Linked DNA regions of Macaca fascicularis. The protein of the gene in region 1 interacts with the protein of each later gene in a pairwise test. Links are inferred from orthologs where the notes say so. Each region holds a gene or a part of one and is shown on either strand. Other genes may lie near its edges. The genes, in order: GLP1R and CD81.

Region 1 (4,476 bases):
TGTAGAATTGATGGCTGCCACTTTCAAGACATGTCTTTATGGGTGGAGGTGCACCCATCTCCTTCCCATTCCTCCTTCCTGCTGGTTGGAATTTGGATATCATGGCCGGAGTAGCCACCTTGGATCATTAGGTGGAAACCTTGGAGCAGAGGATGGTGGAAGCTAGAAGATCCAGGCACCCTGATGATCAGGGAGCCACCACTCCAACCTTGGGCTGAACCTCTGGCCTTGCTTGACATGAGAGAGCCCTTGGTTATGCCATTGTTATTTGGGGTGGGATTTTCTGTCACTCCCAGCTGAACAACCTAATAATCCTAAGTGATACGTAGAAGGTCCCTGCTAGACCGACCTCTTGGGACGGGAGGGAATAAATGAGTCTCAGGTGGTGGAACCAGAGCTTGCTGGAGAGGAGGGTCTCTCCTGCTGAATGGAAGCCAGGGGCCCCTCCCACAGGCTGTCTCCCTCCCTGGGCTCAGACAGGTCCAGCCTTCCTCAGGACTTTGAGAAGTTCAGTTCTCTCCCCAGGACTAGCTATTCTCACAAACTTCCTGTCCCTTTAGTCGACATGCCCCACGGCAGGTCCAAGGCTGGGCACCGCCACAACTCACCTTTCCTAAGAGTGGCATCAAGGTTCTTTGGTGGGGGATCCTCTTTTCCCATCCCCACTTCTCAAGAGCATTAGGGAAGATACAGTCAGTGCCCTCTTAGTGTTCTCTTTCCACTTGTTGGGTATAAGAAGGGAACCTGAGGGCCCTGCCGTGTTTAGGGGTGGGAGTGGAAACAGAGGCAGGAAAAATCCAGAGTCCCCAAAAAGCGAAGCAGGGAGACAGATAGAGAAGGCAGGAACAACCATGGGCACACGTTATCACACATACACAGGTTACAAGAGCAGGAGGCTGGAGCGGCAAGAGGTGGCAGGGAAGCTTCCAGAAAGGCAGATTCCAGCCTCATACCTCCCTGCCCTGCAATGCTGAAGTTCCCAGGTAGAGGGGAACCTCTAGACCCTTCCGACTGTCAGGGCTCTGTGGATCCATTTGTCCCCCTCTCCCCACCCCCAACCTTGACTATCCCGGGCCTGCCTTCAGGACAGAGCCTGGGAATGAGGAGAGGACCTGGGAAGGGGTAACCCTGGGGAAAAAAAGTTCTTATTAGTCACCCCTGGCTCTGGGGATACTTTCCAGGAGTGGCCTGCCAAGCCGTGTGACCTTGGACAAGTCCCGTCCACTCTTCGGGCCTCAGTTTCCTTTGACGGACCTTGAATGGGCGGGGGTTGCTGTGGCTTTCTTCAGCTGGGAGACCAGGGAGGAGGTCCGGGGTGCCAGGGTGGGAGGCGGGCCCGGCTTGTCGCTGAAAGCCGGCCAGGCGCACTGTCGGCGCTCAGAGCTGGTGGCCGCCTCCTGCGCTTTCTGATCCCCAGCCGCGCTCGCTTGGAGCGCAGTGCCCACTATCTCCTGGCCCGGGACCGGCCAAGGGGTGCGGCGGGGCGGGCCCAGGGGTCTCTGGCGGCCGGGACGGAAGAACCAGGACCCTACCAGGCCCCTCCCGCCGGCAGGGCGGCCCCTCGCCGGCTCCTCCCCCGCCGCCCGCCACCCGCCCGGAATCAGTCGCCTCACGCGGTTCCGCAGGTGGCAGCGATGGCCCAGTCCTGAACTCCCCGCCATGGCCGGCACCCCCGGCCCGCTGCGCCTCGCGCTCCTGCTGCTCGGGGTGGTGGGCAGGGCCGGCCCCCGCCCCCAGGTGAGACCCAGGGACCCCGACGACACCGGGGGAGGGGGTGGCGCTGCGGGCTGCAGGCGCAGTGTCCTGGCGGGGGGCCCCGGGACTTGAATGAAACTCCGAGACCGCTGGCGGGGGCATCCGAAAGCCTCGGGGGGAGTAGGGACTGGAGAGTTTGTGCCCTTGGGCTGGAAGGCCCAGGTGAGGGCTTGAACCACAGAGGATTCCCCCAACCCCAGCGGGACGCCCTCTTCCTGGCCGCCAGGGTCCCTCTGCCAGGGCACCCGCTGCCCCGCGGCCGCCCTGCGCTGACTTCTGCCCCGCTTCTCCTTCCTCCCTGCCACTTTCCCAACTCCTTCTAAACCGTGTCAGTGGCCCTGGCACAGCCTGGCATCCTCCTAGACTCCCTCCGCCCCACAGTCTGCCCCAGACCCCTCTCCCGCAGTGCCTCCCCAGGCAATCCACCTGCTCAAAGACCCTGAGAAGGCCCTATGAAGGCTGAGAGCGCCAGGGTGCGGAGACCGGGCTCCTCTCCCTTTCTCGTCAGCCCCCAGCACAGCCTTTGATTCATGGCCCCTGGGACCCTGCGGTGGCAGCTTGTCCTTCCCAGTGACCTCCCAGATGGAACCTACCCCCGTCCCCTTCCAGCCTCTGTAGCAAACAGGCAGAAGGCTCAGTGCCCCCTCTGGAAGCAGCTAACCCACCGCCCCACCCCACCCACTCTGCTGACCTCCCATTCTGACCCTACACTGACAACAGGCACCAAGAGAACGCATGCTGGGACACGCAGGAACACCTGGGCTCCTTGGTGCCACCAGAGAGCAGGCCACAGGTGGACATCTGTAGCCCCTCTCTCCTGTCTTTGCTGCCTTTCCTGCCCCAGGCTCCTGGGCTGGGGGCAGTGGTCAGCTGCTTTTGAAGAGGGGAGCTGTCCAAAGATGCTGGGACATGCTTGAACAGAGAGGAGACATAGACTTGGGTGGCCTGTCCTGGGTCAGGAAACAGGTTCTTCCCATCACCTCCCACTGCTACCGCCAGACCTAAAAAACTGAGATCCGTGGGGAGTGGACCTAGACGAACCTTGAAGTTTGTCCCAGAACCATTGCCTTGGTGAGGGCAGACTCCACCCCAGCTGAAACCCCAGATGTGGACAGACGTGCCTCTCAGCTGAGGGGCCAGCACATTTTCAGCCCCCAGATTCTTTTCCAGATGCATCCTCTCCTTGCCCCTGTTCCCCAGCCCACCTGCTGCCCTGAGCCCCAGGAGACACCCACTCCCTTCCAAGGCACCTTCCCCACAGCGCCCCCAGCCAGGCCTTGGTTTTCCTGGTGTGGTTGGGATCTTTCAGGGGTCAGGGCTGCAGACCCAAGACATGGTTCTTGCCCATCCTTCCCTCCTCTTATGGACTGGGTTGGGGTAGGGGTGGAGGCTCTGCTTCCTGGTCCCATCCTGCTCTAGGCCAGGTTTACAGATCTGGTTTGAATGAAGGGAAGAAAGCATAGGGAAGAGGAAACTTTCTGTGAACTGTCTTCCCAGAGGCCTTATTCCCAGAAGTGTCAGGCTCCTGAACCCGCACTTCCCTCTGATCCAATGTTACTCCTTAGCCCCAGGCCTAGGGCAAAAGCTGGGCAACCTGGGGGCATAACACAATTGGGGTGGTAGAGAAGGATAGGAGGGGACAGGTCCTAGCTGGGACGGGAGCCTTGAGGGGGTGCTCTTGTCATGGGAAACTGAGCTGCCACGGAGATCTGAGTTACAGGGGGTGTTAAGGATAGATGCAATAATTATGACACAACATCATGCATGCTTATAGGACTAAAAAATAGTGTATTTTGCATTTTGTTTTCTGCCTATGAAGTCAGCAGGGTTAGAGTTTCTCCCCTCGTGTTGCTGATGGGGGGATGAAAGCTCAGAAAAGAGGGTCCCTGTATAAAGTAGTCCAGCAGTTCAGGAGCAGGGAGGAGAAAGGGGTGAGGGGCTGGGCTCTTGATCTAATACCTCCTACTCAGATGGGACTGAAGGGAGAACTCGGAGAGTGAGCTGCTCACTGTCGGGTCTGCTGAGGCTGGAAGCAGCATCCCTGCAGGTAGGGGGATGGCTGAGTCGACTTCTGGAAAAGGTGCCCTAGGCCACTCTTTCATTGTTGCTGGGAAACCTCACTCCCCTACCCTGGTCCTTACCTGTCCAAGACCCCGGAGAGGGAGTGGGCCTACTGAGGAGACAGGCAAGCCTTTGGCACTCAAAGTTAAAATCAGAACTGGATTCAAATATAGAGACTGCTATTAGCTGGTGATCTTGAGTTGCATATTTGATTATCCCCAGTCTGTGTCCTCATCTGTAAATAGGGATCATAAACTCTATCACACAGGGTTATGGAGGGGATGGACACTGGCACCCTGAAATGGCAGCTTTAGTCACTTTAGTCAAATGGGGGAACTGACCCATTTGTCCTTGGGGATTTGGAAGTGTTTTCCAGGGCTGCAGGATAGGACTGAGAGGGGCTCTTGGAGACCCTGGGTCTCTGTACTCTAGTGAATGGTGGATGGAGTCCAGGGCTGAGCGTTGGTCAGAGTGGACATTGTTCTAATCTGGGCTTCCTTCTGGACAGAACCCAGGCTGGGGGCTGGGGCAGGAGCAACCAAGAAACCACATCCTGCCCTCGAATGCCCTGCACCAAGGCAAAACAGGCTTCCTCGGCGGCAGCCTGCCCCTAGGAAAATGCCTATGTGTGTGTTGGTGGTGGTGGTGGTGGGGGCAGAG
Region 2 (4,250 bases), on another chromosome or scaffold:
CTGCAATATCTTCCCTGCTTGGGCCAGCCCCGCACCCAGGGAGACCAGTTCTCATTGGCCCCCAAAGCGGTCAGGGCGCAGGTGCACGCTGCCCGGACCTCCCCCTCGCACCTTGGCTCGGGAAGTGAGACAGCAAGAGTGTGAGTGTGTGTGCAGGTGGGAGTGAGGGTGTGTGCACATTCGTGTGTGTGAGTGCCTGTGCGTGTGTGGGGGGGCTCCTTTCTGTGAAAGAGGTCAGGCTACCCCAGCTGCCTTCTCCCACAGGCAAGGCCTTTTTCCTCTCTAAAATGGAACTTTTAACAAGCGCCCCATCCAGACACACATTGTCAACCTCCTCCCCACCAGCCTCCCCTGAGCCCACGGGACTGCACTGAGTCCCTCTGGGCCCTGCAGGGTTCCTGCAGCCCCTTCCCCACTGCACATCCTGCCTGCCTGGGCTGGGTTCTCTGAGGCAGGGGTCCCTTTGGACCCTTGGCCAACCCCCACACCCTGAGCCCTTCCTGTACCAAGCCCCCTGTCAACACTCAGGCATGTCAGTGAATCCACCAACAACGCCAGGAGGCAGGCTCATTGAGGGCCCCCACTGCAGACGGGGGAGGCCAAGGCCCAGGACCAGGGCAGTGTGGTGGGGACTCCACTGAGGGAGGCCCAAGCCCATGGCACTGTGCTCTCAGCCACACACCCTGCGACACCACGGTGGAGGGGGGTCCACCAGGGTGGTGCCCACCAACCTCACCTCACCCAGCCTGGCATTCCTGGCTACAACAGAGCCCCAGTGGATGGGTGGGTCCACAGTGACTGTGAACGGACTCAGTTCTCAATGCTTTGCGGGGAGCGGGCCCTGGGGAGAGGAGTGGTGAGGCCTTGGAGACATTTCCTCGAGCCTTAATAACAAGCATCCCTGGGATGCGTCAGGTCTCCACCCCAGCTGCCTGGGAAACTTCCAGGCCCGCCGTGGCGACACTCCCGGGGGACTGCCAGGGACACCTCTCAGCCTGGGCAGGCAGGAGGGACTCACCCAGCGGTGACCCAGCGGTGACGCATCGTCCAGAGAGCAAAAATCCACCTCCAGAGAAGTCCCCTTCCCTGACTCCCCTTCAGCCCCCGCCCCCAGGCCCACACTCTCCTCATCAGGGGATGGGGCTCCAGGGGCCGGCAGAGGGACATCCTGTGTCCCGTGCCTCTCCCACATGCCTGGGCTGAAGCAGGCCACCACTAAGCAACGGCCGAGGTGCCAGGGCTGTGCCTGGGGAGGGCAAGCCCCTCCCAGATGGCCTCGCTGCCCCCACTGCCAGGGCAGAGCCAAAGGCTACAGTGACTCCCACCAGTGTCCCAAGCAGACTGTGCAGAACAGTCGGTCTTGGGGAAGGTGGGATGTGACCGCCCCACTCCTCTCCCAGCTGAGAGTTCAGTTCAGCCTCTGTCCTTCCCCGTCCAAACAATCTCCCTGCCCCAGATCCGCACTGGGATCCTCACAGTCCAGATGGGAAACAGATGTCTCTGGTCCCACACACTGGCTCCGGGGCCATTTTAAAAGTTTGCCCTCCCTGCCTCAACTTGAGAAACACTCGCTCCACTGGGACATCAGCCGAGTCTTCCACGAGAAGGGGGTGACAGCCTGGGGGGACACGGGGAGGGGCTTGCGGTGTCTGCCCAGGGGCGTGGCCGCGGGGAGGTCACCATCATGGACACCCACTCCAGTCCTTCCAGGCCAAGAAGGGATTTCCACCCCCTCCCCAATTCCAACACTGACAGGAAATGGAAACAAAAGGCGAAAGCCCATCAGTCACTTCCCAGCAGCAAAGACTGCGGTCAGGAGAAAGCCATTCTCAGCAGGAGACCCTCCTCCACCCACGTTGGCACCCAAAGATGCCCAGCGTGGGGGCCCCTCTTTCCAAAGCAGCGGCCCCACTCCCAGACCCTGCCATCCACTCCAGGCCCCTGGTGCCACTCTCTTCCTTGTGCCAACTCAGAACCGCGGGACCCCACTCCTGCAAGGCCTCCAGAGCCCTTCTGGGAGGAGGCCTAGGCTGGAACGTGTCTGGGTGAGGAGAGGGAGATCGGCCCCCAGACAGGACAGCCAGGGTGCGCGCACCCCAGCTTTTGGGCCATCCCAGCGGTGACATCCTTTTAGGCGCGACCCCCGGGAAGGTCCCGGGTGGTGACAGCAGACTGGCGAGTTAGCTGGGCTGGGGAGAGAGTGAGGCGATCGCCCCCAACCTCGGGCAAAGTGTGCGCCCCCGCCCCACCATCCAGGGGCGGCGGCCCTTGATGAGCTCATGGGGGCGGGGCGCCAGGAGTCCCGCCCGCGAGCCCCCCCTTCGTCCCCGCGAAGCAGCAGTCCGGAATCCGCGGCCAGGGACCCGCGCAGGCCCCTCCTCAGCTGAGGGGCGGCCGGGTACTCGGGTCCCGGCCCGCGCCCACCGCACCCATCACTATCACTTAGCGGGAACTGCCCGGCGGCCCCCAGAAGCCCCGGCCCGGCCGCAGAGCTGGGCCCCCGCGCACAGAGGCCCCGAAACTCGGCTCGCAGCCCTCAGCCCCAAAGTTGGGGGGCGCGGCGGCCCCGGGCGACCCCCCACCCCGCTCCTGGAGCCCACAGGTGGCCCCACAACTTCGCGGCCCGCGCTGCGCCCGCGGGGCCTAGCACGCGGCCGCGGGACCTGCCCGAGGTGGGGTGTGTGCCCGTCCCCTCCCGCCCTGGCCCCCGGCCCAGCCCTTACCCAGAAGACGAAATTGAAGACGAAGAGCAGGTACTTGATGCACTTGGTACACCCCTCCACTCCCATGGCGACGCGGGCGGCGGGCGGCCTGCGGGGCGCGGGCCGGTCCTGGGAGGCGGGCGGGCCGGCGCGGGGCCTGGCGGGCAGCCGGCAAGGGGGCCTGGCGGGCCTAGGGGCCTCGGTGCGAAGAACGGGGCGCGGGGGCGCAGGGGCGCGGGGGGCGCGGGGCGCCGGAGGCCTGGCCGGATGCGCGGTGGGGTCGCCGCTATCTCCGCCGCTGCGCGCTCGCTCTGTGGCCGGGCGCGCGCCGCGCTCAGCACCACTTATAGGACGCCTCGGTCCCGCCCCCCGTAGGCCCCGCCCCGGCCAGCTCGCGCCCCGCCTCCGGCCCCGCCTCCCGTCGCCAGGGCGCGCATCGGAGGGGTATGGGGGCGCTGCACCTACCCCCAACTTGGCGCGTTTCGGCCAGGACCTCAGGGCCCGGGTGCACCGTGCTGGGCGCGGGAGGCGTCCCTAAGCTGCTGTCGCGCTCCGAGCCCCCGAGGGGGTGGCAGCAGGGCCGCGCCTGAGGACGGGCATGCAGCGTCTACCCAGGAGTGCAGGCCCGGTGCCGGGAGAACAACCTATTCCTCCCTCCCTCAAGCACCTTGGACAATCTGGGAGGGCTCCCCAAAGGAGGTGAGCACCTTGGACAATCTGGGAGGGCTCCCTAAAGGAGGTGATGCCACAGTGGTTGGCTTTGCAGAGACAGGAGGGTTTGCTCACATTGCTCTCCGGGGCTGGAACGGGGCAGGCATGAGGCCCCCTAGTCAGTGTTGGCCTCAAGTACAGGCAACCAATCCCTGTCCCATGGAAGGGAAGAATTGCTGACCCATGCTGCAGGAGTCTGCATCTGAAAAGGTCACTGGGCCCTGAGAGGGCAGCTCCCAGACCAGTGTGAAGTGTCCAGGAGGCCAGAGCCACCTATAAGAGAACCTCCAGATATTGCATCTATTTCATCCACATCCTGGTTGTGTCGTGCCCCAGGGATGCCAGCCTCACGCTGTGGCTCTTCCTGTAGGTGTGGGGCCAGGCCCGCTGCACTTACTGCTTTGGGCTAATGATTCAGAGTGAGGGGTGCTTCCTGCCCAGAGGAAGGAGTGAAGGCCTTCGCAGGAGATGACACACCGACAAAGGTTTCCCATGTCCTCTCCAAGAAAATTGATGGACAACAGGGCTGCGTCGTGGGCGGGAGCTTACCTGGGAACCATGTGGAACCAGGTCCGGAGAACCGTGCTCTAGCTAGCTCGTCTTAGCAAATGTCGTCCAATCCAGTGCTAACTGATAGAACCTTCTGCAATGATGGGAATGTTCTGTAGCTGGATAACCCCTGGCACAAATGACTACTGGGTACTGGAAATGTGGCCACAAGGAACCGAATTTTTCATTGCGTTTCATTGTAATTTAAATTCACGGCCGGGCGCGGTGGCTCACGCCTGTAATCCCAGCACTTTGGGAGGCCGAGGCGGGCGGATCACAAGGTCAGGA

Evidence for each region.
Region 2: the proteins of GLP1R (region 1) and CD81 interact in a protein complementation assay, tested with the Homo sapiens proteins (2 studies listed by BioGRID). The link is inferred for Macaca fascicularis from reciprocal best matches to the Homo sapiens genes GLP1R and CD81.

Annotation. Positions count from the first base shown.
Region 1 is NC_088378.1:132,564,572-132,569,047, reverse strand, and holds the start of GLP1R (glucagon-like peptide 1 receptor), read left to right. Parts: upstream 1-1,588; 5' UTR 1,589-1,659; coding exon 1,660-1,737; intron 1,738-4,476.
Region 2 is NC_088388.1:2,297,065-2,301,314, reverse strand, and holds the start of CD81 (CD81 antigen), read right to left. Parts: upstream 3,022-4,250; 5' UTR 2,790-3,021; coding exon 2,724-2,789; intron 1-2,723. UniProt on the Homo sapiens protein: Structural component of specialized membrane microdomains known as tetraspanin-enriched microdomains (TERMs), which act as platforms for receptor clustering and signaling.